7 linked regions of the Cricetulus griseus genome follow. The protein of the gene in region 4 purifies or fractionates together with the protein of the main gene of each other region. This does not show direct contact. Links are inferred from orthologs where the notes say so. Each region holds a gene or a part of one and is shown on either strand. Other genes may lie near its edges. The genes, in order: Exosc3, Exosc2, Exosc9, Mphosph6, Exosc7, Exosc6 and Zfc3h1.

Region 1 (4,138 bases), on a different chromosome or scaffold from region 4:
AATCCCCCTTTGGTTCACCTAATTAACATGCCCAATCTAAATATATGCTAGCATCCTAGTCTATTTTGATGCAGACCTCTTTTTTCCCTTCTTAAAAACTACACCTTCAGGCTGGAGAGATGGCTCAGAGGTTAAGAGTACTGACTGTTCTTCCAGAGGTCCTGAGTTCAATTCCCAGCAACCACATGGTGGCTCACAACCATCCGTTATGAGATCTGGTGCCCTCTTCTGGTGTGCAGATATACATGGAAGCAGAATGTTGTATACATAATAGATAAAATCTTTTTTTTTTTTTTTTTTTAAAAACTACACCTTCAAAGTTACTTGCTGTTTTTCTGCCCGAGTCAGAAAGCAGCCACTTTAATTTTTCTTCCCTGATTAATAAAGGATCTCTCTGTGAAATAGGTGTTTGAGGAGTGTGTGCTTCTAATCCGGTCCAGGAGAGAGCCCCCTGCCCCCCCATTCGGGCTTTCCTTCAATTGGTGTGCTCCAAAAGAAATAGGGGCAAGAATTGTTCTGAGTTACTGATTTTCCTAAGCCATGTAGAGATAACTCAAGTAGGTGAAAAGGTGTGATATGTGTTGCGCGCGGGGGTGGAGTGGGGGTGGCGGGGGGGGAGCCCTAGAGTGTAATACACATAAGTGTTACATCTATTATGTACAAATGATAGGAACTACAGCTGAAAACACAGCAAAGGAGACAAATGAGTAAGACTTCCGTTGTTCTTTCTTTTTAATAATTGATTTTTATTTCATATGCATTGGTATTTTGTCTGCATGTGTATCGGTGTGAGGGTGTTAGATCCCCTGGAACTGGGGTTACAGGCAGCTGTGAGCTGCCTTGTGGGTGCTGGGTCCTGTGGAAGAACAGCCAGTGCTCCTAAACCATGAAGTCATCTCTCCAGCCCCTATTGTTGTTCTCCCATTCTTTATATTTTACAGAATTTAAATTGGTAGCAACGTCCAAACAAGTCATACTTTGCAAACCCTTTTTTCCCAGTTAAAATTTCAGCCACCTTTCTGTAGGCTGAATGGAAAGTAAAGCCTCCAAACCCAATACCCAGGGGCCCTTAGTTCCAGCACCCGTAGAGACTAAGCCGAAAGACCTGACACGGGATGTGAGGGCTCCAAATGAACTCCAGCTGGGCGTCTCTTTCACCCACCCGCGGAGAAACCACAGGGTGGGTGGGCTGATAGCTCAGATACGGGTGTTTGGGGGTGGGGAGGAGGGGGTACCGAAGAGAGGATGTGACTGGTTGGCGGTCTGAAGTCTATTTCAGAAAGCCCACAAAAACCGGAAAGGGATAACCCTGGAGGGCGGGCTCTTGGATGCGGAAGCGGAAGTAAAATGCCGGAAGCTGCGACGACTCCTGCTATGGCTGAAGTACTGTCGGTTGGGAAAGAATCGGTGGCCGGCTGCCGGGCGCGGGTAGCGCACAACGTGCTGAATCAGGTGGTTCTCCCTGGGGAGGAGCTGGTGCTGCCGGAGCACGAGGACGTAGACGGCCTTGGCGGCGCCGGGGAGCAGCCTTTACGTCTGAATTCGGGGGCGCGCCCGCGGCTGCGCGTCGTGTGTGGCCCGGGTTTACGACGCTGCGGGGACCGCCTGCTGGTCACCAAGTGTGGCCGCCTGCGCCACAAGGAGCCCGGAGGAGGCGGCGGTGGCGTTTACTGGGTGGATTCTCAACAGAAGCGGGTGAGCGGACGTTGGAGAGGCCGTGCTGCTGCGATAGTGGAATCCCAGTTCTGGGAAGACTCCCTGCAGCGGGGAGGAGAGGATGAGCTCAGCCTAGAGCCGCGGTGGCTTCTAGGTCCCCTCTGCATCTTCTTTAGAGGAACCACAGTAGAAACACAGCTTGAGAAGGGAGAAAGGAGAAAGGGGCTAGAAAGTAGGAAGCCGCAGGCGTGCCATGTGGAGTCCCAGTTTCAGTGAGTCTAAATAACAGGGAGTTAAATTATTCGTAGAGTAAGAGCTTTCATGTAGAAGTGTCTAATGGGTGGGTTTCCTTGACTGTAAGGATTCTTGTGCCGCCGGATGTATAAAAGATGCTGAAGTATGAAACCTGACTCAGGTCAACTACGGATTAGAGACAACAAAGTTGGATTGGTGCGGCCCGGTTTTGTAGTCCCAGCTACCTGAGGAATATGAGTTGGGAGGATTGTTTGAGACCCATCCTGAGCAACCTTGCTAAAACTTACTGCATATATGTTACAGTAGTCTTTTATGGTTGTTCTTTCATTATGTTTTGCAGTACGTACCCGTGAAAGGAGACCACGTGATTGGCATAGTGATTGCTAAATCTGGAGATATATTCAAAGTTGATGTTGGAGGGAGTGAGCCAGCTTCTTTGTCTTACCTGGCATTTGAAGGAGCAACTAAAAGAAACAGACCGAATGTGCAGGTAATGATGGGAGCCTTTGGTTTCAACAATAAGGCAAAAATAGCCACTCCCCAGAAATTTAGCTGCCCAGAGGACTTCCTGATTTGTCTCCAAAGCATAAACTATCCTTCAGATTCTCCAAGATAGTTCCTTAGGCGCTGCAGCTCCAGAACCAGTGCTGTGTTCTTGGTTCTTCTCTCCCAGGTTGAAGGGTTATGTTTGCTTCCCCTTGTTACCTGTGAGGTTCATATCCATATCACAAGGAAAGTGTCCCTAGTCTAAGGGACACTGGTACTGTCAGTCATCTATCTCTTCATCTTGGCTCTGAATCCTTGGAGCTGACAGAAGAGTGATCTTGTTACTACAGGATTTCTGGTTGGTTTAGCTGTATCCTTCCTGAGGATACATGTGAGCCAGAAATTTGATGGCATCTGTGCTACTTTTCTTTCAACTCTCACAGGTCTTGAGTCATTTGATCTTATTTGTTCCATCTCTTGTCTTTTGCATGCCTTATCCCTTTGTGTCTATGAGTTCAAGCATTTGCTCATTTTTGACAAAACTGGGCAGCAATCTCATTAACATTCCAGCTTCCATCTGTTAATATCCTCATGTTGACATTCCCTTTTTAAAGGTTTTATATGTGTGGATTTTTTTAAAAAAAGATTTAAGTATATGTGAATGCTCTATTGACTTTATGCCAGAACACAGCATCAGATCCCACTATAGATGGTTTTGAGCCACTATGTGGTTGCTGGGAATTGAACCCAGGTCCTCTAGAAGAGCAACCAGTGCTCTTAACCACTGAGCTATCTCTCCAGCTCCCATATTCCATTTCTTAACAGGAAAAAAAATGTTCAAATCATAGAGAATTCATTGGCATTGTGCCCCAGGGGTCTTCCCTCATATTAGCACTTCATGCTAATATGCTTAAGTTTCACAACACCACTGAACTTGGTTCCTTTGGGTCTTTAGTAATGGTGCTCTTCTGTCTGGATTGCAGTCTCTCAGCCTATGAGACAGACATCCATCCATTGAGATCCAGGCTAAGCACGACTATGTAAAGTCATTCATCATCATCACTTTTCCTGTATCTTTACCATGGTACTGGATTTATTCTTGAACTTGTCATGAGTTTATTCATTCTTGTTGCCCTGTAGAAGATCACATGTTCTTGAAAGGCATAAAGTGTCTTATGATTCATTCCCTCTAAGTTTTGTAGTCACCCAAAATGGTGGGTACTTAAATATTATTAATGTATGCATATCGAGGGTGTTTTGGCTCTATGTATGTATTTGCCCTCTATATGACTGATGCTTGTGGAGGTCAGGCAGGAAGGTCGGGTCCCCTGAAACTTAAGTTATGAATGGTTGTGAGTTGCTAGGAGGGTGCTAGGAACCAAACCTGGGTCCTTTGCAAGAGCATCAAGTACTCTTAACCCGTGAGCCATCTCTCCAGCTCTCAACAGTGGGGATTTTTAATGTTGAAATTCATTCTGTTTCCTCAGCTTCATCATTTTAAAGTTCAGTTTTGTAACATTTTAAATCTAGAGCTGGATGGTACTGGTGCACACCTTTTATCCCAGCACTTGGGAGGCAGCAGCAGGCAGATCTCTGAGTTCGAGACCAGCCTGGTCTACAAGATCTAGTTCCAGGACAGCCTCCAAAGCCACAGAGAAACCCTGTCTCAAAAAACCAAAAAAAAAAAAAAAAAAAAAAGGATTTCTGGATGAAGGGAACTTTTCTGCTTTTCTGTCTTATA
Region 2 (3,500 bases), on a different chromosome or scaffold from region 4:
CTGAGACAGCAGTGCTGTGTTTGAGGTTAGCCTGGTACACAGTGAGTTCCAAGCCAGCCTGGGCTATCCTTAAAAAGAAAGACAATTGTGTCTAGCTTGCACCATGGGTCACAAGTTACAAAACCCAGAGTACTGTTCTGAGCTAAGGAGAAAGAGCAAAGCTTCAGCCAAGCCCTGGACATATGACCCAGAATTCAGACCCCTCTGGTCAGCTGGCAGCCCTGTAAGTCAGGATACACTGATGAGGTCTCCTTCCTGTAAGAAGCCTCTCATGGCCAGCTCATCCTCTGCAGATCTTCTCCTCTGAAACACACGGAAAAATGACCACATGACACAAGCCTCACTTTCAGGAGGAGCTCTTTCCATCCCTGCTTTTTGCTTGAGGTCTGTGTAGCCCACCATGGTATTTTAACATAAAGAACTATGACAAGAGGTAACCTCAACTGCTGGAGAACAAGGGAGGTGATACTAGCTCTCCAAGAGGGACCCTCCTAGGCTAACATCCAGACCCTCTACAGGTCACTGAGCCTGTTTCCCCACTTACCCTCACTTCCACCAGGCTGTGTGTCTGCTCACGTATCTCCCTTCATCTGAGTCCCAACCTCACTCCAACTCTCAGACCCCCAAGGGCCCTCCTATGAAACAACCCCTCTCTGCTCTCCATGTTTCTTTCTTTTCCTGCCTCCCCATGTGGTTCAGCTATCTCCTATCCTCCACCAATCTATAAGTTCTTTAAGGGACTCAGATGTGCCTTATTTATTCTGACACTCTCCATAGGATCCAGCTCACTGTCTAGAATAACCATGTGCATTCAAGTCACTGAAAACTAAGGATAAGTGGGGCTTAGTGGCACATGACTTTAATCCCAGCACTTGACAGGCAGAGGCAGGCAGATCTCTGTGAGTTAAAGGCCAGCCTGGTCTACAGAGTGAGTTCCAGGACAGCCAGGGTTACACAGAGAAACCCCGTCTGAACACCAACCTCCTGCCCACCCTCAAGAAAAGAAAAGAAAGCAAAGGCCAACATTTCACAGACACCTTCCCTGTGTAACCCACAAGAATGCCAACCCACCAAGAAAGGAAATTAGCACCAAGATTCAGGAGCCCCTCTCCCCAGCTCCATCTTGGGAGCCCACTCCACATGTGTTTCTGGTCTTACCAAACACTAGTTGCTGCCTATGTCAGGTGACCAGAGCCAGGAGAAAAAGCCTATGTTCACCAAGCTAGCAGACCCCATGACAAAACATTAACAGTGTAAACCGAGTTCTATGGTGGAACAAAAGCCCCACAGCTCAACTGGACAGTTCTAGGGCAGACAAGCACTCACCAGCTCCCCTCCGGGCAGGTTCATGGATGAGAGGAGCAAGACAGAATCCAGCCTGGAATTTGTCTCTACTTTCCACCTCTTCTGTTGAACCTGTAAGGAAAGAGTAAGGCAGCATCTCAGGGCACCTTCTTCATACAGCATTTCACAGAATGAAGGTCCCATCCCTGAGCCACCAGCCTCCTTCACTTTGTAAAACAGCAACTTTACCTCCGTGATTCTCCCCACTACAATGTCTCCTACTTCTCCATTGTATCTGCAAGAGAAAGCAGAAGGTTACCCAGTAGCCAGCAGGCTGACCAGACCAAGCACTATTTGAGGCTGAGTAAACAGATGGGACTTCAGAATCCCTGTGTATATACTTCATTCGTTTTCCTTAAAGAAACTGCTGCCGGGCATTGGTGGCTCACACCTTTAATCCCAACACTTGGGAGGCAGAGGCAGGCGGATCTCTGTGAGTTCAAGGGCAGCCTGGTCTCCAGAGCGAGTGCCAGGATAGGCTCCAAAGCTACACAGAGAAACCTTGTCTCGAAAAAACCAAAAGAAAAAAGAAAAAAAGAAATTACTCATTGCAAATCATTCCTTTAGACTGCAGTCCTAACTTTGCTTGATTATGTGACAAAAACACAAAGTACTTGCTTCTGAATAGGGGTGGGACAAGTTTATCACCACGCAATGGAGGGAAGGAGACACTGAAACACACTACCATCCATGGGGGCTCGAGCTGCCCTCTCCTCGATGCCTGCCTGGCTCAGGCACTTTGCTGGTCCCTCACCCTGATTCTGAGGATGAAGTGCTCTTTGCTAAAAGCCCAGGCATTAGAATAGGTCTCTTTCTACTCAAGCTCCCTCACAGTGAGCTCACCGAGTTTTAGTGGTGAGAGGCAGGGGCTCGTCCATACTCCCGGCTCTTGGGAGAGAGCGTCATGAAGCTATCCAGTATCAGTAGCCACACAAATGGCTCGTGAACACTTCTAAAAGTAACTAACCCAAAACAAAGACTGCCGGCATCGGCTTCCCCTTCTCCACAGCAAACCACTCTCCCATTGATGCCAGGTCAGTAAGTGCTTGCACACACACACACACACACACACACACACACACACACACACACACACACACACACACACACACACACACACACACACACACACACACACACACACACACACACACACACACACACACACACACACACACACACACACACACACACACACACACACACACACACACACACACACACACACACACACACACACCACACACACACACACACACACACACACACACACACACACACACACACACACACACACACACACACACACACACACACACACACACACACACACACACACACACACACACACACACACACACACACACACACACACACAACACACACACACACACACACACACACACACACACACACACACACACACACACACACACACACACACACACACACACCACACACACACACACACACACACACACACACACACACACACACACACACACACACACACACACACACACACACACACACACACACACACACACACACACACACACACACACACACACACACACACACACACACACACACACACACACACACACACACACACACACACACACACACACACACACACACACACACACACACACACACACACACACACACACACACACACACACACACACACACACACACACACACACACACACACACACACACACACACACACACACACACACACACACACACACACACACACACACACACACACACACACACACACACACACACACACACACACACACACACACACACACACACACACACACACACACACACACACACACACACACACACACACACACACACACACACACACACACACACACACACACACACACACACACACACACACACACACACACACACACACACACACACACACACACACACACACACACACACACACACACACACACACACACACACACACACACACACACACACACACACACACACACACACACACACACACACACACACACACACACACACACACACACACACACACACACACACACACACACACACACACACACACACACACACACACACACACACACACACACACACACACACACACACACACA
Region 3 (3,500 bases), on a different chromosome or scaffold from region 4:
ACTAGCCTATCTGTGGAGGAGTTAATTGTTAATTGATGAACCAAGGGCTCAGCCTTCTATGAAGGGCACCATTCCCTGGGCAGGTGGTCCTGTCCATATCAGAAATGTAGTTAAGCATGAGCCTGTGAGCCAGCAATCAGCCTTCCTCTGGTTTCTGCTGTACTCCCTCAGCTCTGAGTTAGTTCCCTGATTACAGGTATATGAACTATCAAGGAGGCCTACCTGCCTCCAGGTTCCTGGTGAATGTGATCTAGAAGTACAAGCCAAATAAATCCTTTCCTCCCTTAAGTTGCTTTTGGTGTGTGTTTTTATCACAGCACCAGAAATCAAACTAGGATATACTACCATAGTTATCAAGACAGATGTCACCATAATTACTGAACCTCTGCTGCATATGTGATAGGTACCTGAAGTACATTCCTTAAGCTTCAAGTCTGCTATCAAGACAGACGGCACCAGCCTCCACAGGACAAGTTAAGTACACTGAAGTACTAGATACTTATTGCTGGAGGTAACAAGAAGAGGAGCTATGAACCAGCCTTTTTATTCCTTCTATTAATTTGAGTTATTAGGTTCTTTTTTATAAGAACATGTTAACTTTTAAAGAAAACACTTCTATGACTTTTTAAAATAAAATCTCAACTAAGTACTAGTATATACAACTGAGATTAGCTAAGTAAAGACCAAGTATGAAACTATATGGCTGCTCTTGTGTGAAAAAGCCCTACTATATACACAACTGAGATTAACTAAGTAAAGACAAAGTATGAAATTATACCGCTGGCCTTAAAATCCCTTAGAAACACACATTTAAAGAGCACATAGTTCTGAGAAATTAAACTTACCGAACTTTCTGGTCATTTTCCAAAGCTTTCTGTATTAGATCTGTAATTTCTGCTACTTTCACACCAGCTATTTTACTGCATCTCAAAACCTGTTTGTAAATTTGAGCTGTTAAAGACAACAAACTAAATGGCTTTTTCTAATGAAACCAAAACCATGACATGAATATTCTACCTTTACAATTTAAGCATTTCTTTTCCAAATGTGAAATTAAGGTACAGTAAGTAGCTAAGACAAAATATGAGAATCACTTATTTTGAAGGTCTAGCACATTAAAGGAACAGACTTGAGAACTTACTTATGAAACAGTTAAGCTACCAGAGATGACAAATGAAATGCTCAGGCTTCCTTTCTGTGCCAGTAATCCACAGAAACAGAAATCTATAGTGGTTGCAATCCTAGCACCATAGGTAGCAGTCACCGAGCACTCTGTGTTCCAGAGACCTATAATCTGCCTACACATTTACCCTCCAATCCCTTCTATGGTGCCAGCAATAGAATTATCCCCTAATGTACAGGAGAAGGCACAGAGACCCAGAAGTAAGTCATTTGCAGAAAGGCTATAAAGATCAATTAAAACTGGAACTAAAACTGCTCCATGCACATAGTTAATGCTCACAATGCTACATGGCACTCTGTTTTCTAATTGCCTCTGTGTGGATCTGGTATGTGGCTGGGTTTGAGTATCACTCACTGCTGGTTGTATTCACATTCCAAAACTAAAACTTAGCTTTCTCTTAGTGTATACATTTAATACTTTAAAAAGTAGTAATGAGTCTTTCTTCACTGAAGGAACTAAGGTATTCCTCCAGGCAGATCTAGAAGGACAAATACAGGGAGGGGCAAGGAAAGAAAGGATAACCATGTCTACCTGTTAGAATGTAATACCTGAACTGAAACCAGATTCTAATATGACTAGACTTACTAAAGTGCCCTGTGGCTTTTAGTTAAAAGATAACATTAAGCCAGGCAGTGGTGGCACAGGCTTTTAATCCTAGCACTGGAGGCAGAGGCAGGGGAATCTCTGTGAGTTTGAGGCCAGTCTGGTCTACAGAGTTCCAGGACAGCCAGGGTTGTTACACAGAGAAACTCTGTCTCAAAAAACAAAACAAACAAACAAACAAACAAGGATAATTCTAAAACGAAGTAACAATAAATCTTCAGAAGAGAGACCTCTTAGAGGGAAGCTAGTCAAAGCACTAACCTGGTCTTTGAGCAGCATTATCCCACCACTAGACTGAATAGTACAAATTTCTCGATGCTTATTCATGGCAATCACCAGCAAGCCATCCATTACTCGTTCTTCTCGTTCATTGGGGTCCACCAATAAGTATGTTCTGAAACAAACGTTAAATGGTCCTGAACATATCTGAAGCTGAGTGCTGTTTCTAGAGTGGGTTTGTTAAAGTTAACATCCAAAGTCAGTACTTCAGCATTGAAGGAGCTGAGTCACTAACTCAATGATTTCAATTATGTGGCCATTACAATAAAGCCACACTAGGTTCAGACTGAAATTCAAATGACATATAACCCAATACTCACACCATCTCTTTGATAAAATGATTTCTGGCTCATTAATAAAGACATAACATTAATTTGGTTCATTTCCAAGTAGCACCAAGGCCCTGTGCTCTTAAGTTCTAGAACCTGTAGATGGCACAGAAAAGGGCTGCCTGTTTCTGCAGTGTCTTCTGCTGGCAGACACACATGGGCACTGAGCTCGACTCCAACCATGGGTATAAAATACTTAGTACAAACAGAAGAATGTAAAATCTTGAATAATTTTGAAAATTCTGGTATATAATAAAATGAAATATTTTATATCTATAAGGTTAACAAAGATATAAAAAATTTAATTTGTCTTTATTTTGTTTTCATTAAGGACCCTACTATATTTCTGAGTTTTGTCTAGAGTTTGCTATGGAGCTCAGGCTGGCCTGAAAGCCACTGAGGTTTTCCTGTCTCTGCCTCCCCAATTTCTGGTTTTCACACTTGCTATGTTTCTCTTGTCTTTTAATGTGACTACTGGAAAATTTTAAGTTACTTTTATGGCATATACATTTTACTTTACTAGATAATGCTGGTCCATTTTCCTGATATTGAATTAGCTTCGATGACTAAAAAATCCTTACAAAGTCAGGAAGAAACCAACAGATGCTCTAACATTAAGGTGTATCAGAACAGAGCAATAAAGATCCTGAGCTGGAAGAGTGTTACACACAGCATTCACAAAGCCCTGAGTTCAACTCCTAGCGCCACAGAAACCAGGTATGAAAGTACATACCTGTAATGCCAACACACAGGAAGTGGTGGCTGGAGGATCAGAAGCTCACGGTCATCGTGAGATATGAGACTGTTTCAGTAAACAGAATCCAATTCCTGGGAATATTTACATTTTCAGCCCAAGACAAGGCGACACTTACCCTTGCTGGAAGAAAGCAAAACTGATACAGATGGGCATGTGGTGGATGCTCAGTGGCACAGGGTCCCGCTCTTCAGGAGTGTACTGTTTCAGAAGAAAAGGCCAAATGCTTACAGACAGCATATGAGAGAAATACAAAAGCACTTTGAGACCAAACACTAAGAAATGAATTTCTTAATTTGAGTAGCTAAATAATGTATTTTATAATTACTTACGACTTTGGCAACTGTGTCCC
Region 4 (4,094 bases):
ACATACAAGAATATGAATGAATATATATATGACTGGAGAGATGGTTTAGTGGTTAAGAGTACTGGTTGCTTTTCCAGGGGAGACAGGCTGGACTCCTAGCACCTACATTGGGGCTCACATCCCTCTGTAACTCTAGTTCAAGGGGACCTGACAACCTATTCTGGCCTCCTTGGGTACCAGGCACTCAGGTGGTACAGACATACATGTAGGCAAAATGCTCATACACATAAAATAATTTTAAAATTTTAATTAAAAAGTACTGAAGACAAGTGAGTCAGGAATAAATGTCCAATGCTCTCATGCTTGCCTTATTAGTTCTACCTGAATGGCCCTAAGCACCTCTGTTCCACGCCTTCTCCTAGTACACTGCTGTAGTTGTGCATAATACCTCCTGTCCCACCAGCAAGGTTGTTGTCAATACAGCTGCTAAGACAAACAAAACATGGGTAATGCTCTCCCACACACTTGTCATGTCCAGTTGGATCTTGTTCACTTGGGTGAGGGGAAATAATTGCTTTAATTATTTTCGAGCTCAGAGGCAGATCTTTAGTGTCCACCCTGTATGCTTAGCACAGGCTCATTTGGTTTACTCCAAGAGCTAAGACTACTCAGTGCTTCCTAGATCCGCTCTAATTCTCTGCAATCAGCATGATTACAAACTGCTTAAACTGGTAAAGACTCAAACTTTGCTCACACACAGAAAGAAGTACTTGCCAAACTAAATTAGGGGCAACTTGCCCTCCCTCCATCCTCATTCTGTTCACTCCCAGCTGCAGTACAACTCAACTGCATTCAAAGCTTCCAGGGAAAGTTTACTCCCTGACCCTCAACACAGGACTCATTCATTCCTTATTTCCTTTTCTTGGAAACGCCACTGCTCTCACTGACAGCCCACGCCTTAAAAAGGTTTAGATTAATGAACCACCTTTAAGATGGTGGGAATCTAATACCACACACCAGAAACAGTACTTTAGATTCTGACCTTTTCCTGTGCTAGCCATATGTAACAGGGGACTCCACTGTGGTGGGGGCAATGGGGCACCACTCCCAGAAAGCCACATCATCCTAGGGGTAAATGACAGAAACTCTACAGTGTACTGTGTGGCTAACCTACACCGTTTCATAGGCAGGGCAGCTGCCCGTGTTAAATAATCTTTATAATACTGTTGAGTGAGACGTTTAAGTCAAGTGCCACCTGTGCGTTCAGTGACAGGTGGTAGAGACTACAGCAAAGACTCTGGGGCCAGATGATCAGTCTTTTTAGCTGTTACTTCCTGTTTCAGATACCTCAGGTGTCAATGGAGATAATGACTGTGGCTACTTCAAATGTTCCCATGTGGATTAAGTGGTTTATTATATATGAAACAAGAACAATGTCTGGATATAGGAAGGATAATAAATATGTTCTATTACTATTATGTAAGTCCTAAGATTTAGCTTCCCCCCCATCTTAATTAATGTGACTTTAACCTCACTCTCCTTTTCAGACTGTAGTTAAGTTCATTCAGGTTTCTGTTGTTGTCGTCTTTTTGACACTTTGAGACAGGGTCTCTAGTCTGGTCCAAGCTGGCCACAGACTTGCTAAGCAGCTGACAGTATTGGGGTTACAAATGGGTACCACCAAGCCACTACTGCTGGTTCAAATTGGTTCAATTTCAAATTTAAAAATCATGTGGCTGGATAGTTGGCTCAGTGGCTAAGACTTCTGGCTCTTGCAGAGAGGTCTCAGTAACCACACCTAGCAGCTTACAACTCCAGTTTCAGGGGTTCCAACACTTTCTTCTGGCTTTCATAGACACCTGAACACACATGGTGTATATTATAGGCATACATAAAGAAAAATAAGCATAAACCTTTTAAAATTTTGATTTTGTTTAAAAGCTGATGGACAATTCGTTCCACCCCACTTAAAATTTTCTTCATTCCAACCACAATGACAACCTTCATCCAGAGCACAGGACCTTTTAGCTGGTCTTTCTGCCTGTAAGTTTATGTGTTGTGGGGTTGGGCTTCTCTCTCATTAATTATTATCCACAGTACAGTTCTCGTAGCTTTGATAGGTAACAACTCATGAGACTGTTCCCGGGCTCAACACTTTCCTTACTGCTCATGAGATAACGGGGAACAAAACTTCAGTCTGGATCACAAAGTTCCTAGTGACCACTAATTTTTACAGACTAGTTTTATGCCCCTTGCCTTTCAGACGTCCCAGCTGCCTTTTGTTCTTGCAAACGTCTGTAATTTTCTTTTCTCCCTCTCAGACTTATGAACTCACTTACCCTGGTTCAGGACACTACCTGAGATCCTTTCACGTGGTTTCTTTTTAAGGACCATTTCTCGCGAGACGCCTAAGTTCCCAGGCGGCCCTAACACTTCGGCAGTCGCTGCAGGTTCTTACGTTCGTGCAAGCTCAGTCCCCACAACGGGCTTCGGGCTTGAGGCGAGTCTGCCTCATCATAATCTCACCCCAGGTGCCCAATGGCCGGTAGGCTGAACGAATGAATGGATGGATACGCGGGCCGCGGCCATCCGGGGCCAATCTGGGGTGCAGTCTGCCCGTTTCGCCTCGGCCCGAGTCACTTCGGGACATCTCGGGGCTCAGCTGCCCCATCCGACACCCCAGCAACCCCCAACCCCCGCACCTTCATGCGCAGCAGGTTCTTGGATAACTTAGTCTTGCGTTCAGACGCCATGTTGGGTACTTTTCCAGCGGCTCCGGAGCCACGGCGCTTGCGCACTGTCAAGCGCTGAGCGTGACGTGGCACTAAACGTGCCCCTCCTCTCGCCACGTCGCCGTCTCTCGCCGCAGCTCTTAGCCCCGCCTCAGCCTTTGCCCCACCCCCTATTGGCCACACCCTGCCGCGTTGCCCCACCCCAGCACCCGGTCTTGCCCCGCCCACGTTCCGAGTGCTCAATGGTTGCTTTAGCTTTTCTCGCTCGGCTCCTATGGGAGCGCGTCTCTCCCCAAGACGCTGTGGTAAGAACTCGGGCTGCCGCGGGAGGCGGGCGGGGGTTTACCTCAGGAAGGCAGATTAACCGGAGGCCGCTGGAGCTGTGGGCGGGGCCTCCGGGCCGCCGCGACTCCAGGGGACCCCTGAGCGCCCCGTCTGTAGGGCCCTTGCTGATAAGCCGCTGAGGTTGCTGCCAGAGTTTAAAAGTTTTAAAAACATTACTGGTTTGCTCCCTAGGTAGCTCGTTCTCTAGAACTCCCTGCAGGAGGTGGCCACAAACCCAGTGTTGGGAGTGACGATGCCCCGTTGCACCGCTGCACACAAAACTGGTAAATATACATACACCTGTTTGCTGTGCATCTTTGAGCCTGGAGAATTTCCCTTTTAAACAGGAAGAAAAACAGGAGCTAGCAGGAGCTGCACGCGAGGAAAGGCGACAAAGAACTTGTGAAGGGGCCAGGGATGGTTTAGTGGGTGAAGACATTTGCTGCCAAGCCTGAGGACTTGAGTTTGATCCCTGGGATCCACGTGATGGAAGGACGGAAGTTGTCCTTTGACTTCACACATGCTCACACCTCACAACAAATGCAATTAAATTATTAAGAATAAAAAACCCTTGAGGCCTATATTAAGGCAAACAGTTGTAAATGCAGTAGTAGCTTTAGTACTTTTCCGTTTAGTGCTCACTGCACCCCCTGAAGACTTTTCCCCAGGCCATTCTCAGGTTCCACACTTCAGGAAGACACTGAGTAACATTTAGCAATTTGCATGCAGTGGACGTCATTTTTTGAACTGGGTGCTGTACCTTGTGAGAACACTGAAGAACACATCATTGTCGTGTATTAAGCAACCTGCTGGAGAGGTGGTAAAACTGAGATTCATAAAGCATTCCGGATATTAAAAGCCCTGAAGGTTTTCCCAGTGGAGTAAATAAAGACATAATGTGTTAAGTGGTTACAGAAACACATTTACTCATAACTGGGAGTGAGACATTGCAGAGTACCAAGTGGTTAAAAACACATTACCACCTTTTCTTGGAGCTGGCATTGTGTGCATTAAAAAGTAGTAAGTACTCCAGAAGAAAGAAAACTATTGTGGTGAGTGACTTTTAGGGTCACTTTAAATTTAGTCCAGGATGGTCCT
Region 5 (3,500 bases), on a different chromosome or scaffold from region 4:
ACTGACACTAGCAAGCTGGCCAAGGAGCAGGCCTCCTCCTGAAGTGTGGCATCCACCACATGCCGGCAGCCAATCTGCAAGATCAGGGCTGTTTAACATACATGTGAACAGTAGACCAGAGATCCCAGATCCCCCTGACACAAGCCTACAAAGGCTGTACATGCATGGCTCGTTCCAGATCTTATTTTAAATTCTGCTTGTTTGGAAAATGCTGGAAGGAATGTTCAACATTGTTAATATGGTCCATTGTGTGAATAATATAATAAAAAGACAAAATGTCAACAAGCAGTTTGGGGGCAGAGAGTCCACCAGGACAGAGACCACCAGGCTTTCCCACAGGGAACACAGGCAGGAAATGCATATGTGAGGCCCCACGGCTTCTTGTTCACTCCAACAGTGAATCCAGAAAGCCCAGCTAAGGGACATACAAAATAATGCCACCCTCCAGAGCTCTGTTTAGTCCCAACGCCCTGTGAACATTTCTTTACAATCTCAGTTCTCAAAAAACTTCCAGTGGTATTAAGTGACTGAAATGTGTGATTTTGGTTTTGTTTTGTTTTGAAACAAGGTCTTTGTTGTGCAGCTATGCTGACGAGGTACTTGATATATAGGCTAGGCTGGTCTCAAGCTTGCAGTAGTCCTACTGTCCCCACCTACTGAGTTCTGGAATTATAGACATGAGCCACTGCACCTGGCTCAGCTTCATTTTTATATAACGAGTCTCTTGTGGAATTAGTCACAATCCCAGCCAACACAAGCCTGAGGCTATGCCAGATGTCAGAGTCAGAAAACCTCTGGGCTCCGTGCAAACTATACTTGGCATGTGTCACCTAGGACTGGCCCCAAGCCCTCAGTTCCTGTATGTGGACATCAGGGTCCATAGAGGAATACTGTTTGAGAACCTACCGGTGTTCAGCTACCTTGGACTCTGGAGTACAGGGAGTTAATGGAAAATGAGCAGTGCAATAGAGTGCAGAGCCTGCAGAGGGACCATGACAGCCAGACTGCTAATGAAGCAGCCTTCCCTTGGGACTCGTCTGTACCTAATGGAACCGAATGATGAGATGTGGGTTAAAGCTACATTTGTAGGGTTTGCACAACTACAGCCTCTCAGCTTATGAAGTAATCTCAAGAGCCTAGGGTTGGAAGAGATCCGCCTCCCCACGGAAGGCAAGAATGCTAAGAGACAAGCTCACACCTTGCACAGGGTGACGATGCAGGGCACATTCTCTACACTCAAGCGGATACAGTCGTAAGGATCGTCAGACAGCTCGATGTCCTTTGCCCCCTCTTCATCCTCCAGAACACGAACCCGTGGTATCCTGGGAACAGAGGCATGATTGAAATTTCCATCTCCTGGAAGGAGGAACCATAACCTTTTTTGAGATCAGGAACCGAAATTCTTTTTTGTTTGTTTGTTTTTGTTTTTGTTTTTTCGAGACAGGGGTTCTCTGTGTAGCTTTGGAGGCTGTCCTGGAACTAGCTCTGTAGACCAGGCTGGCCTCAAACTCACAGAGATCCACCCACCTCTGCCTCCCGAGTGCTGGGATTAAAGGCGTGCGCCACCAACACCCAGCGAAATTCTTTTTTTATAAGCAGGAATTTCGTTAACTCCACCTTGTTTACATCCTCGCTACCTGTCAAAAGTTGAGGCTAGAGCTTCTGTGTCAGGGACTCAGAGTGCTAAGTGTGACATCCTCAGAGTGCTCATTGTGACATCCTCAGAGTGCTCTAAGTGTGACATCCTCAGAGTGCTCTAAGTGTGACATTCTCAGAGTGCTCTAAGTGTGACATCCTCAGAGTGCTAAGCGTGACATCCTCAGAGTGCTCAGTGTGACATCCTCAGAGTGCTCATTGTGACATCCTCAGAGTGCTCATTGTGACATCCTCAGAGTGCTCAGTGTGACATCCTCAGAGTGCTCATTGTGACATCCTCAGAGTGCTCAGTGTGACATCCTCAGAGTGCTCTAAGTGTGACATCCTCAGAGTGCTCTAAGTGTGACATCCTCAGAGTGCTCAGTGTGACATCCTCAGAGTGCTCATTGTGACATCCTCAGAGTGCTCATTGTAACATCCTCAGAGTGCTCATTGTGACATCCTCAGAGTGCTCAGTGTGACATCCTCAGAGTGCTCATTGTGACATCCTCAGAGTGCTCAGTGTGACATCCTCAGAGTGCTCTAAGTGTGACATCCTCAGAGTGCTCTAAGTGTGACATCCTCAGAGTGCTCATTGTGACATCCTCAGAGTGCTCATTGTGACATCCTCAGAGTGCTCATTGTGACATCCTCAGAGTGCTAAGTGTGACATCCTCAGAGTGCTCATTGTGACATCCTCAGAGTGCTTATTGTGACATCCTTAGTGTGCTCAGTGTGACATCCTCAGAGTGCTAAGTGTGACATCCTCAGAGTGCTCATTGTGACATCCTCAGAGTGCTCTAAGTGTGACATCCTCAGAGTGCTCTAAGTGTGACATCCTCAGAGTGCTCTAAGTGTGACATCCTCAGAGTGCTCATTGTGACATCCTCAGAGTGCTCATTGTGACATCCTCAGAGTGCTCATTGTGACATCCTCAGAGTGCTAAGTGTGACATCCTCAGAGTGCTCATTGTGACATCCTCAGAGTGCTCTAAGTGTGACATCCTCAGAGTGCTCTAAGTGTGACATCCTCAGAGTGCTCTAAGTGTGACATCCTCAGAGTGCTCATTGTGACATCCTCAGAGTGCTCATTGTGACATCCTCAGAGTGCTCATTGTGACATCCTCAGAGTGCTCAGTGTGACATCCTCAGAGTGCTCAGTGTGACATCCTCAGAGTGCTCATTGTGACATCTTCAGAGTGCTTATTGTGACATCCTTAGTGTGCTCAGTGTGACATCCTCAGAGTGCTAAGTGTGACATCCTCAGAGTGCTCAGTGTGACATCCTCAGAGTACTAAGTGTGACATCCTCCTTGAAGTGGGCAGTAAGCAGTGTGAAACAGGACTGATATGCCAAAATAGACGTCTGTATATTTACACACACACACACACACACACACACACACACACACACACACACACGGGGGGGGGGGGAGTAAGAGGAAGGTGGCTGAGAGAGAGAGAGAGAGAGAGAGAGAGAGAGAGAGAGAGAGAGAGAGAGAGAGAGAAAGAGAGAGAACTTTTAATTTCTTAATTCTTTGGGCCCAACATAGGCAGAGGATTGGGGAAGACAGAGTGGCATCAACTCTTCTGGAGGACTTCAATGTACAAAGTTCTTTCTATCTTCTATCCAAGGGCATCATGGGGTCACTGTTCCTTGCTGCCTGAGAGTGAGACTGATAGCTGTTCGTGATCTGGGTAGCTAGGTTTCACAAGCTGACATCCATTTTCTCAGGACTCCCTCACAGCAAAACAGCTTCCCCAACTCCCTGGCACCCATGCGAACCAGCTAGCCAAGAAGACTCATCTCAGAGGCTAAGCCACTTCTGATGACAACCTTCTTTCCCATTTCCACAAAGCCTGGCTG
Region 6 (3,065 bases), about 7.0 Mb from region 4:
AGAACTGACAGGAGAGAAGCCCTCACTGGGAAGCGTTTCCCCATCAAACAAATGTGTCAGAATGCAGGAGTGCACCCAGGAGCTCCCCTGCCATGAAGACATTTGAGTCTTGGGACCTTTCAGTCGCCCTATCCGTCCTAATCCAGCAGTAACTGGAACATACCTGGAGCTGTCCTGTGACTTATTGCCCCTTTCCGTTACTGCTCTGAGCCATACTGTCAGCACCATCTGTCTAGAATCACTACCCCAGGAATGCTGTTGAACATCACCGTGATCATGTCTAGATAAGACCACTCTGCCGACCTGAGGCTTCTAGGTCATCTGCAGGTAGGAAGCCTTTTTGTTGCAGAAAATAAAAAGGACCATGTGCAATACTTGATAAATGCATTCTACTTTTTCTCCCCGGGGTGGACCCTGACTCCCTGTATGTCTGCAGAATACAGGCTGCAGTTCCAGCTAGTTTCTGATTGAAATGATCACAGAATACATCCCTAGACCCCTGAACTTTAGGAGTGGCCCCTGGGATGGCAGAGACATAATGGAAGGGCTGAATTGAGGCATTCAATAGAGTGGGGAAGGTTTCTACAGAAATTCTCAAGTGGAAAAACACCTTTCTCAGTCTCTTGGGACAACCTCTTAATGCCTTGGACCATGTATGTCTCATCTCTACCTCCTTTTGAAGTTGCTGATATGAGGTCAGAAAACTAATATAGGAAGTATAAGCATGGAGGTGTCTGTCTCCCAGTAACTGTCCTATCTGTGTTTCTTAACCTAAAGTAGTTCAAGCCTGGCCCAGCCTAAAATGTAATTAGTCTGAGTCTACAAACAGCAGAGTCTGGAAGCAGTAGTGTGTGGGAGGTAGAGATGTTGCCTGCTCATGCCAGTTCCTCAGGGTGTTAGAAATGTACATATATGCGTGCGTGCGTGCGTGCGTGCGTGCGTGCGTGCGTGTGTGTGTCTGTGTACACACAGTATAGGAAGAGAAATTTCCATCAGTTTATTAAACAAGTGTTGAAGCCAGCTGGGGGACTGAGTACAGGAGTGAACAAAAAGCCCTGATGTTGTGCAAGTTTATGTAAAAAAAGAAAGTGTAAATGCAAAATTCAAGAAATAACCTTAACAGGTTAAGAGTCATTAAGATCAGGCCAGGTCACAGCGCGGGCCAAGTCCAGCTGTACCTCCTCCACACCTCTAGGTGGCAGTGCATCCACCTACCGCTCTCCCGACAGGCTGCGCGCGGGCGCGCCTGTTTTAAGTAAGCGGAAGAGCCGGTGCGCAAGGTAGCCCAGCAGGCGGAAGTGGCTCGTGCGCCGGTAGCCGCCATGCCGGGAGACCACCGTCGTATCCGCGGGCCGGAGGAGTCTCAGCCGCCGCAGCTGTACGCGGCCGACGAAGACGAGCTGCCTGCTGCCCGCGACCCGACGCGGCTACGGCCGGTGTACGCGCGCGCCGGGCTGCTGAGCCAGGCCAAGGGCTCGGCCTACCTGGAGGCCGGAGGCACCAAGGTGCTTTGCGCCGTGTCGGGCCCGCGCCAGGCCGAGGGCGGCGAGCGCGGCGGCGGCCCTGCGGGAGCGGGCGGCGAGGCTCCGGCCGCCCTCCGTGGCCGCCTGCTCTGTGACTTCCGCCGCGCGCCCTTCTCCGGCCCCCGGCGTCGCGCCCCCCAGGGCGGCGGCGAGGAGCGCGAGCTGAGTCTGGCGCTGCAGGAGGCTCTGGAGCCCGCGGTGCGCCTGGGGCGCTACCCTCGCGCCCAGCTCGAGGTGTCCGCGCTGCTGCTGGAGGACGGCGGCTCTGCGCTGGCCGCGGCTCTCACGGCCGCGGCGCTCGCCCTGGCCGACGCGGGAGTGGAGATGTATGATTTGGTAGTGGGCTGCGGCCTGAGCCTCGCACCGGGACCCTCGCCCACTTGGCTGCTGGACCCCACGCGGCTCGAGGAGGAGCACTCCGCAGCCGGCCTCACGGTGGCGCTCATGCCGGTGCTCAATCAGGTGGCCGGGTTGCTGGGCAGCGGGGAAGGCGGCCAGACTGAGAGTTGGACGGACGCGGTGCGCCTGGGCCTGGAAGGCTGCCAGCGCCTCTACCCAGTGCTGCAGCAGTGCTTGGTGCGAGCTGCCCGCCGGAGGGGCGCCGCCGCCCCGTCCTGATTGGAAAACCCGAGCAACAAGGATGCGGATGACTGCTGATGTCCTTCTTTCCCAAACGGCCCGGCTGCTGGTCGCCTGCCTTGGCCGAGCTGAGAAACGAGAGTGGGAGGCAGCGCGCACTGAACCGAAGCGCTGGACAGCTGTGTTGGAACGGTTTAAAGGGCCTTAGCAGCCTTACTCCCAAGTTGGAAAGGACTTCGGCTGGATTACCTGGTAAATGAGCTGTGTTCTTGTAAGGGATGGACCCTGTGCAGGCCAGCCATTGGCTCCAGTGTATGATAAACTGCTTCTTTTGAGAGGATGGACAAGGGACTTTGCCTTCTCACTACCCGAACTAAAACATAAAAACCTTTTTTATACCTGAAAATACATCTTGTGGCTTTTCTTGGTACTACAGTTAGAAACAATGCCGTTTTGAACTGGGCATGTGTTGAGTCTGTATTGCCAGTATTGACTGTATTGTCAGTACTATCTTAAATTTTCCTGTCTCTTAGCTCACTGTAAGTGAAAAGGAGTAACGTGCTTTAGAGGAGAAACCTCCTGCCCTAGGAGCAGTGTCTGAGGTGAAAAGACCGAGGAGATGTCAGAACAGCCAGAGCTACACAGAGAAACCCTGTCTCCGACAAAACGACAGGAGAGTTAAATAGCCTCAGAAATCTGGGTGCACACCTATCCTCTCCTTTGAAGCACAAGATCATGTCTAGGAGTTGGGTAACTGGAAAGGATTATGCTCTAGAAAGAAGCCCTGTCACTCCCTTCTTTGGCCAGTAGGGTAGCATAACTGGAGGTTTCCATGACTTTGCAGAAGTGATAGTGCAGACCTTTAAAACCCAGCACTGGTGGGGCAGAGGCAGGTGGATCTCTGAGTTCTAGGGCAGCCAGAGCTACATAGAGAAACCCTGTTGCAAAAAAGGAAAAAAGAAA
Region 7 (4,189 bases), on a different chromosome or scaffold from region 4:
GATACTAAAGGACTATGGATAGGGCTTGGTATTACAAGTTTTATTTGCTCCCATTATGTTTTCCTTCTCCAATTCTTACTAAGAACACTATCTCTAGGGTAGTGTACTGATATTTCATGAGAACAATAATGCAGACAAGCAAACCAAGCACCTTGGTTTTTGTTGTTGTTTTGTGTGTGTGTGTGTGTGTGTGTGTGTGTGTGTGTGTGTGTGTGTGTGTGTGTGTGTGTGTGTGTGTGTGTGTGTGTGTGTGTGTGTGTGTGTGTGTTTTGAGACAGGGTTTCTCTGTGTGGCTTTGGGGGCTATCCTGGCATTCGATCTGGAGACCAGGCTGGCCTCGAACTCACAGAGATCCGCCTGCCTCTGCCTCCCGAACACTGCATGCGCCACCAACGACCAGTTTTTGCATCTTGTTCTTAAACTGCAGTATCTGAAACACAATCAATGTGACAGCTGATTTCTGATAACCACTGGATATTTACCTACATGCTCTTCCATAAGTACATAAAAATGTCAGTATATGGCATACCCTATACAGTATGGAACAAACAGGAAAATGGGGAGGAAGGAGGCAGGTAAGCCTGTCATCTTTGAATTGCCACTGTGCTTTTGTCCTCAATTTGATGTTTTATTAAACTCTATTTTCATTTGTTTCTCCAACACAAGTTACACATTTCATCTACATAACCTTAAAAAACATGTTTATGTATTTAAACATCCTTTGTTTTTGAATTCGGAAAACAAAAGGCCATGGTGTTCCATATAATCATGGGCAAAGGGTTTCTAATCTTTGTGAGAAAACCTCCACTGTTTTAAAAGGTTATCTACCTGTCATTTTCCCCCATAACAATCTTGAGATGCTTCCAAACCAATTATAGGTGATAGAAGGATAAGCTTTGCCAGGACACAGGAACCAAAACCTGTTATTTCTTTAAATATCCCTTCCCCATTAACATCATGACATCTAGAAAAAGCCAATATCGCTCAAAGTGCTTCATAAAAATAATTTTGAGTAGCTTCCAATTAAGTGTCATATGTGAACCTCATAGAAAATATATTAAACCACCATTGCATCATGGGAATTACAGCTAGTAATAAAAGTGCTTAGTAAACTATGTTAAACAATTTGTACAAGTCGGGATGTATAAACCCATCGCAAAACACAAACGCTTTGGACGATTAATTTCTGAAAATAAATCCTGAGTAAACTTGGTAATGTTAAAGATAACCAATAATAAGGCTAGAGGGGGCAAAAGTTAGGAAACTGGCTGTTTTTCTTTCCCACTGGTCCATACTCTACACATCCCGCTCAGAAACACAATACAATAAAAGTGCTGATGAGTTTATCTTCCTCTATCTGAATGTTGGCAGCACCAAGAATTACAAAGCCCCAAAGCGAACATAAGGAAAGTGAACTTAATGCATAGCATTAAGCATAGTTTGGAACTTAGCTTTCCAAACTAAGTATGGATGGACTTAAAAGATCTGAATTACTAAAACTGGTTAAAAAATAAGTAAATAGACAGATAATTAAAGGGTCTACACACACACACTTCCAAAGGCAGTAATGAGAACGGATAACTACGAGAGCAAGAAAAAAATTCACAAGGACGGTAAAATTACAGAGGAAAACTTGACGAATCCTAATGCCAGGGTGTGATATTAAGCAACAAGGTTCCTCGAGACGTTTATGAGTCCTTCTTTTCTCTAATAATCTAAGCGAATTGCCCATAAAATACGAAACTCCGGTGCTAGCAAAAAAAAAAAAAAAAAAAAAAAAAAAAAAAGCAAAGTACTAATGAAACCTGGGCGGCTGGTGCGTACCGTTGGTTTCTCTAGCTGACCCCGAATCCATGGCACACTCATGAGTTCGAGAGCGGTCCAATCCAACACAACAATCTAAGAAAACAGCGGTGGAGTGCGTGGCACTCGACAACTGCTGGCGCACCGAGAGACAAATAGGTGGTTCCGAAAAGTTAGGACTCGGGGATGGGGGGAACCTAGTCGTGGCGCTAACGGGAGCTCCGTTAGCGACACACCCAGGGCAGACCGCCACGTTAAGGATACAGCTCTTGCGAGGTGGAGAGGGCTCTCGCCAACTCTGACTACTGCTGCTGCTGCCGCCGCCGCCGCCGCCGCCGAATCCGGATCCCGCTCCTCCTCCTCCTCCTCCTCCTCCTCCTCCCGGAGGAGGTCTGCACCCCGGCTTGCCTCCTCGCTCGCCCACTCCTCGCCCCCGACTCCACCGACTCCCACCCCGGTAAGGCCTGCCTCGAAAGCGGAAACGGTCCAGGGCGATGTGGCTCCGCTCCCAGAACGACGGCCGGGGGCTGCTTTCCGACAGGGAGCCCGAAGGCATCCGCACCGGGGGCGGGTGAGTCCGGAACGGTTCTTTGGGTCGGTAGCTGCTGTGTCCCCTGAGGTGGCCCCGCTCCGACGGGTGCCGCGAGCGTGAGAAATTCCTCAGCGGCTGCTGAGAAGAGGACGACGACGACGACGAGCCGCCGCCTCCCCCGGATCCGCCGCCGCGGGGCGGGTGAGGAGGCCGCCGCCGCGGGTACGGCAACAGCCCGCCGCCGCTACTGCTGGTGCTGCTGCTCCGGCTCCGGATCTGGCTGTTGTTGTCGTCGTCGCTGATCTCCCCATCCTCGAGCTCCCCTTCCTCCTTCGGGGAGAGGCCGCTAGAGGCCGGGGTCGAAGGATCAGCGGTCGCCATCCGGGGAGCGGCGCCGGTCACACCACCTTAGCCCTCCGTCCGGGGACCCCCGCCCGCCGCCCGACCTCCGCCCGCCCGTCCGCTGCCTGCCGGCTGCCTTCCCCTGCCTCCTCTCCCCTGAGTCCTAACGGGCCCGGCAGGCGCGGCCTTCCCGTGCTCGGACGCCTGGCAGGCTCTGCTCCCCAACTTCCCCGCACCCCAGATCGCTCTCTCGCCGGACCGTCGCTCAGCCAGTACCCTCTCCTAGCGCCCCCTTGCTGCTCTTCCGCCTCGCGAGAAAGGAGCCGTGGAGGAGGAGGAGGTGGAGGTGGAGGAGGAGGCCGAGTCCCGGTCGTCATTTCCGGCGGCACGCCGGAAGGAGGCGACTTCCGAGTCTCGCGATATAAAGGAAGCGCGACCGGGCGCGAGGCTCGCTGGGATTTGTAGTCCGCTCTCGCGCAAGGCTTCGCCCTTGATCCCGGCGGACCTAACTGTCCCCAGCTGGCATCATGCCGGCTGAGATGGCCCGGTCGGTGTCCGGGTAGCGGGCCTGCGTTTCAGAGTCACTCATTGGTGGGGAAGACACCTGCCATCTCTTCCTTGCTCCGGCGCCCTTATCTGAGACGCAGTGTACCTCCCTGTCTTTGGGACCCCGGGCCGGGGGGAGGGGAGCGGGGGAGCGGGTGTGGCCGCCATGTTGGTGAAGGCGAGCGTGTGCGCCGGGAGCCGCAGGACCGTTGGCTAGTGCGAGCCGGACCCCGCCATGTTAATAAAGAGGCCGGGGAGTGGGCGCTCCCTCCCGCCCGTGTAGCGTGCACGCCCCTCTTCCTCGTGTCGCCGGCCTCCTCGTTTGTCTGGCGTGGTGACAGCGGCTGTAGCGGGCTGCGGTGGCGTCAGGGAGCGCCGCCGAATGAGGGGCCGGGGGAGATGCCGACCAATTGCGCCGCGGCGGGCTGTGCTGCCACCTACAACAAGCACATTAACGTCAGCTTCCACAGGTAACCCGGGCGAGGGAGCGGGGGTGACGCAGACGGGCAGCCGAGGCACGAGGCGACTCGGGACCCGAGCCCGGCTGCTAAGAATAGCCGGGTGGAGCGGGGGGGGGGGGGTGCCTGGGGTCCCTTTGTGTGTGGCTTCGCGCCCCTGGAGACCTTTTTGGTGCCTCTTCCCCCCCCCCCCCCACCGAGGAAAGTTGACACCTGCCTGGCGAAAAGAAACGCGGGTTCTTGTGAGCCGTAACCCTCGCATTAAAGAGTGACGAGCGTGCCTTTACCGTCTGCTCCTCTGTTGTTGTTCTGTGTTTAATATCTTAGACCATGCCTTGACACGAGTGACACCCTAAGGGAATGAGCATTTCCCCGTTCAAGTCAACACATCCCCGAAAAAAAAAAACCCTGCGGTGCTCGAGTTTTAAAATTAGGAAATTCTCGCTGGCCGAATTGACCAGCGTGGGAAAAACGTTTTGTGATAGGGCACACACTGGGACTGCGGAGG

Evidence for each region.
Region 1: the proteins of Mphosph6 (region 4) and Exosc3 purify together in Homo sapiens (affinity purification with mass spectrometry; 6 studies listed by BioGRID and IntAct, counting the BioPlex papers as one, with this or other methods). This does not show direct contact. The link is inferred for Cricetulus griseus from reciprocal best matches to the Homo sapiens genes MPHOSPH6 and EXOSC3.
Region 2: the proteins of Mphosph6 (region 4) and Exosc2 purify together in Homo sapiens (affinity purification with mass spectrometry; 8 studies listed by BioGRID and IntAct, with this or other methods). This does not show direct contact. The link is inferred for Cricetulus griseus from reciprocal best matches to the Homo sapiens genes MPHOSPH6 and EXOSC2.
Region 3: the proteins of Mphosph6 (region 4) and Exosc9 purify together in Homo sapiens (affinity purification with mass spectrometry; 5 studies listed by BioGRID and IntAct, with this or other methods). This does not show direct contact. The link is inferred for Cricetulus griseus from reciprocal best matches to the Homo sapiens genes MPHOSPH6 and EXOSC9.
Region 5: the proteins of Mphosph6 (region 4) and Exosc7 purify together in Homo sapiens (affinity purification with mass spectrometry; 4 studies listed by BioGRID and IntAct, counting the BioPlex papers as one, with this or other methods). This does not show direct contact. The link is inferred for Cricetulus griseus from reciprocal best matches to the Homo sapiens genes MPHOSPH6 and EXOSC7.
Region 6: the proteins of Mphosph6 (region 4) and Exosc6 purify together in Homo sapiens (affinity purification with mass spectrometry; 3 studies listed by BioGRID and IntAct, with this or other methods). This does not show direct contact. The link is inferred for Cricetulus griseus from reciprocal best matches to the Homo sapiens genes MPHOSPH6 and EXOSC6.
Region 7: the proteins of Mphosph6 (region 4) and Zfc3h1 purify together in Homo sapiens (affinity purification with mass spectrometry; 3 studies listed by BioGRID and IntAct, with this or other methods). This does not show direct contact. The link is inferred for Cricetulus griseus from reciprocal best matches to the Homo sapiens genes MPHOSPH6 and ZFC3H1.

The regions. Positions count from the first base shown.
Region 1 is NC_048595.1:98,138,479-98,142,616, forward strand, and holds the start of Exosc3 (exosome complex component RRP40), read left to right. Parts: upstream 1-1,338; 5' UTR 1,339-1,347; coding exon 1,348-1,695; intron 1,696-2,251; coding exon 2,252-2,401; intron 2,402-4,138. UniProt on the Homo sapiens protein: Non-catalytic component of the RNA exosome complex which has 3'->5' exoribonuclease activity and participates in a multitude of cellular RNA processing and degradation events.
Region 2 is NC_048599.1:143,396,339-143,399,838, reverse strand, and holds part of Exosc2 (exosome complex component RRP4), read right to left. Parts: intron 1,580-3,500; coding exon 1,534-1,579; intron 1,417-1,533; coding exon 1,327-1,416; intron 304-1,326; coding exon 238-303; intron 1-237. UniProt on the Homo sapiens protein: Non-catalytic component of the RNA exosome complex which has 3'->5' exoribonuclease activity and participates in a multitude of cellular RNA processing and degradation events.
Region 3 is NW_023276806.1:113,107,304-113,110,803, forward strand, and holds part of Exosc9 (exosome complex component RRP45), read right to left. Parts: intron 3,350-3,500; coding exon 3,267-3,349; intron 2,181-3,266; coding exon 2,048-2,180; intron 935-2,047; coding exon 846-934; intron 1-845. UniProt on the Homo sapiens protein: Non-catalytic component of the RNA exosome complex which has 3'->5' exoribonuclease activity and participates in a multitude of cellular RNA processing and degradation events.
Region 4 is NC_048596.1:194,432,457-194,436,550, forward strand, and holds the start of Mphosph6 (M-phase phosphoprotein 6), read right to left. Parts: upstream 2,801-4,094; 5' UTR 2,694-2,800; coding exon 2,643-2,693; intron 1-2,642. UniProt on the Homo sapiens protein: RNA-binding protein that associates with the RNA exosome complex. Involved in the 3'-processing of the 7S pre-RNA to the mature 5.8S rRNA and play a role in recruiting the RNA exosome complex to pre-rRNA; this function may include C1D.
Region 5 is NC_048597.1:230,059,014-230,062,513, reverse strand, and holds part of Exosc7 (exosome complex component RRP42), read right to left. Parts: intron 1,323-3,500; coding exon 1,199-1,322; intron 75-1,198; coding exon 1-74. UniProt on the Homo sapiens protein: Non-catalytic component of the RNA exosome complex which has 3'->5' exoribonuclease activity and participates in a multitude of cellular RNA processing and degradation events.
Region 6 is NC_048596.1:187,461,890-187,464,954, forward strand, and holds Exosc6 (exosome complex component MTR3), read left to right. Parts: upstream 1-1,246; 5' UTR 1,247-1,322; coding exon 1,323-2,141; 3' UTR 2,142-2,565; downstream 2,566-3,065. Other genes in the region: Aars1 (alanine--tRNA ligase, cytoplasmic), read left to right, coding at 1-8. UniProt on the Homo sapiens protein: Non-catalytic component of the RNA exosome complex which has 3'->5' exoribonuclease activity and participates in a multitude of cellular RNA processing and degradation events.
Region 7 is NW_023276806.1:140,750,033-140,754,221, forward strand, and holds the start of Zfc3h1 (zinc finger C3H1 domain-containing protein), read right to left. Parts: upstream 2,801-4,189; 5' UTR 2,717-2,800; coding exon 2,068-2,716; intron 1-2,067. Other genes in the region: transmembrane protein 19, read left to right, coding at 3,623-3,693. UniProt on the Homo sapiens protein: Subunit of the trimeric poly(A) tail exosome targeting (PAXT) complex, a complex that directs a subset of long and polyadenylated poly(A) RNAs for exosomal degradation. The RNA exosome is fundamental for the degradation of RNA in eukaryotic nuclei.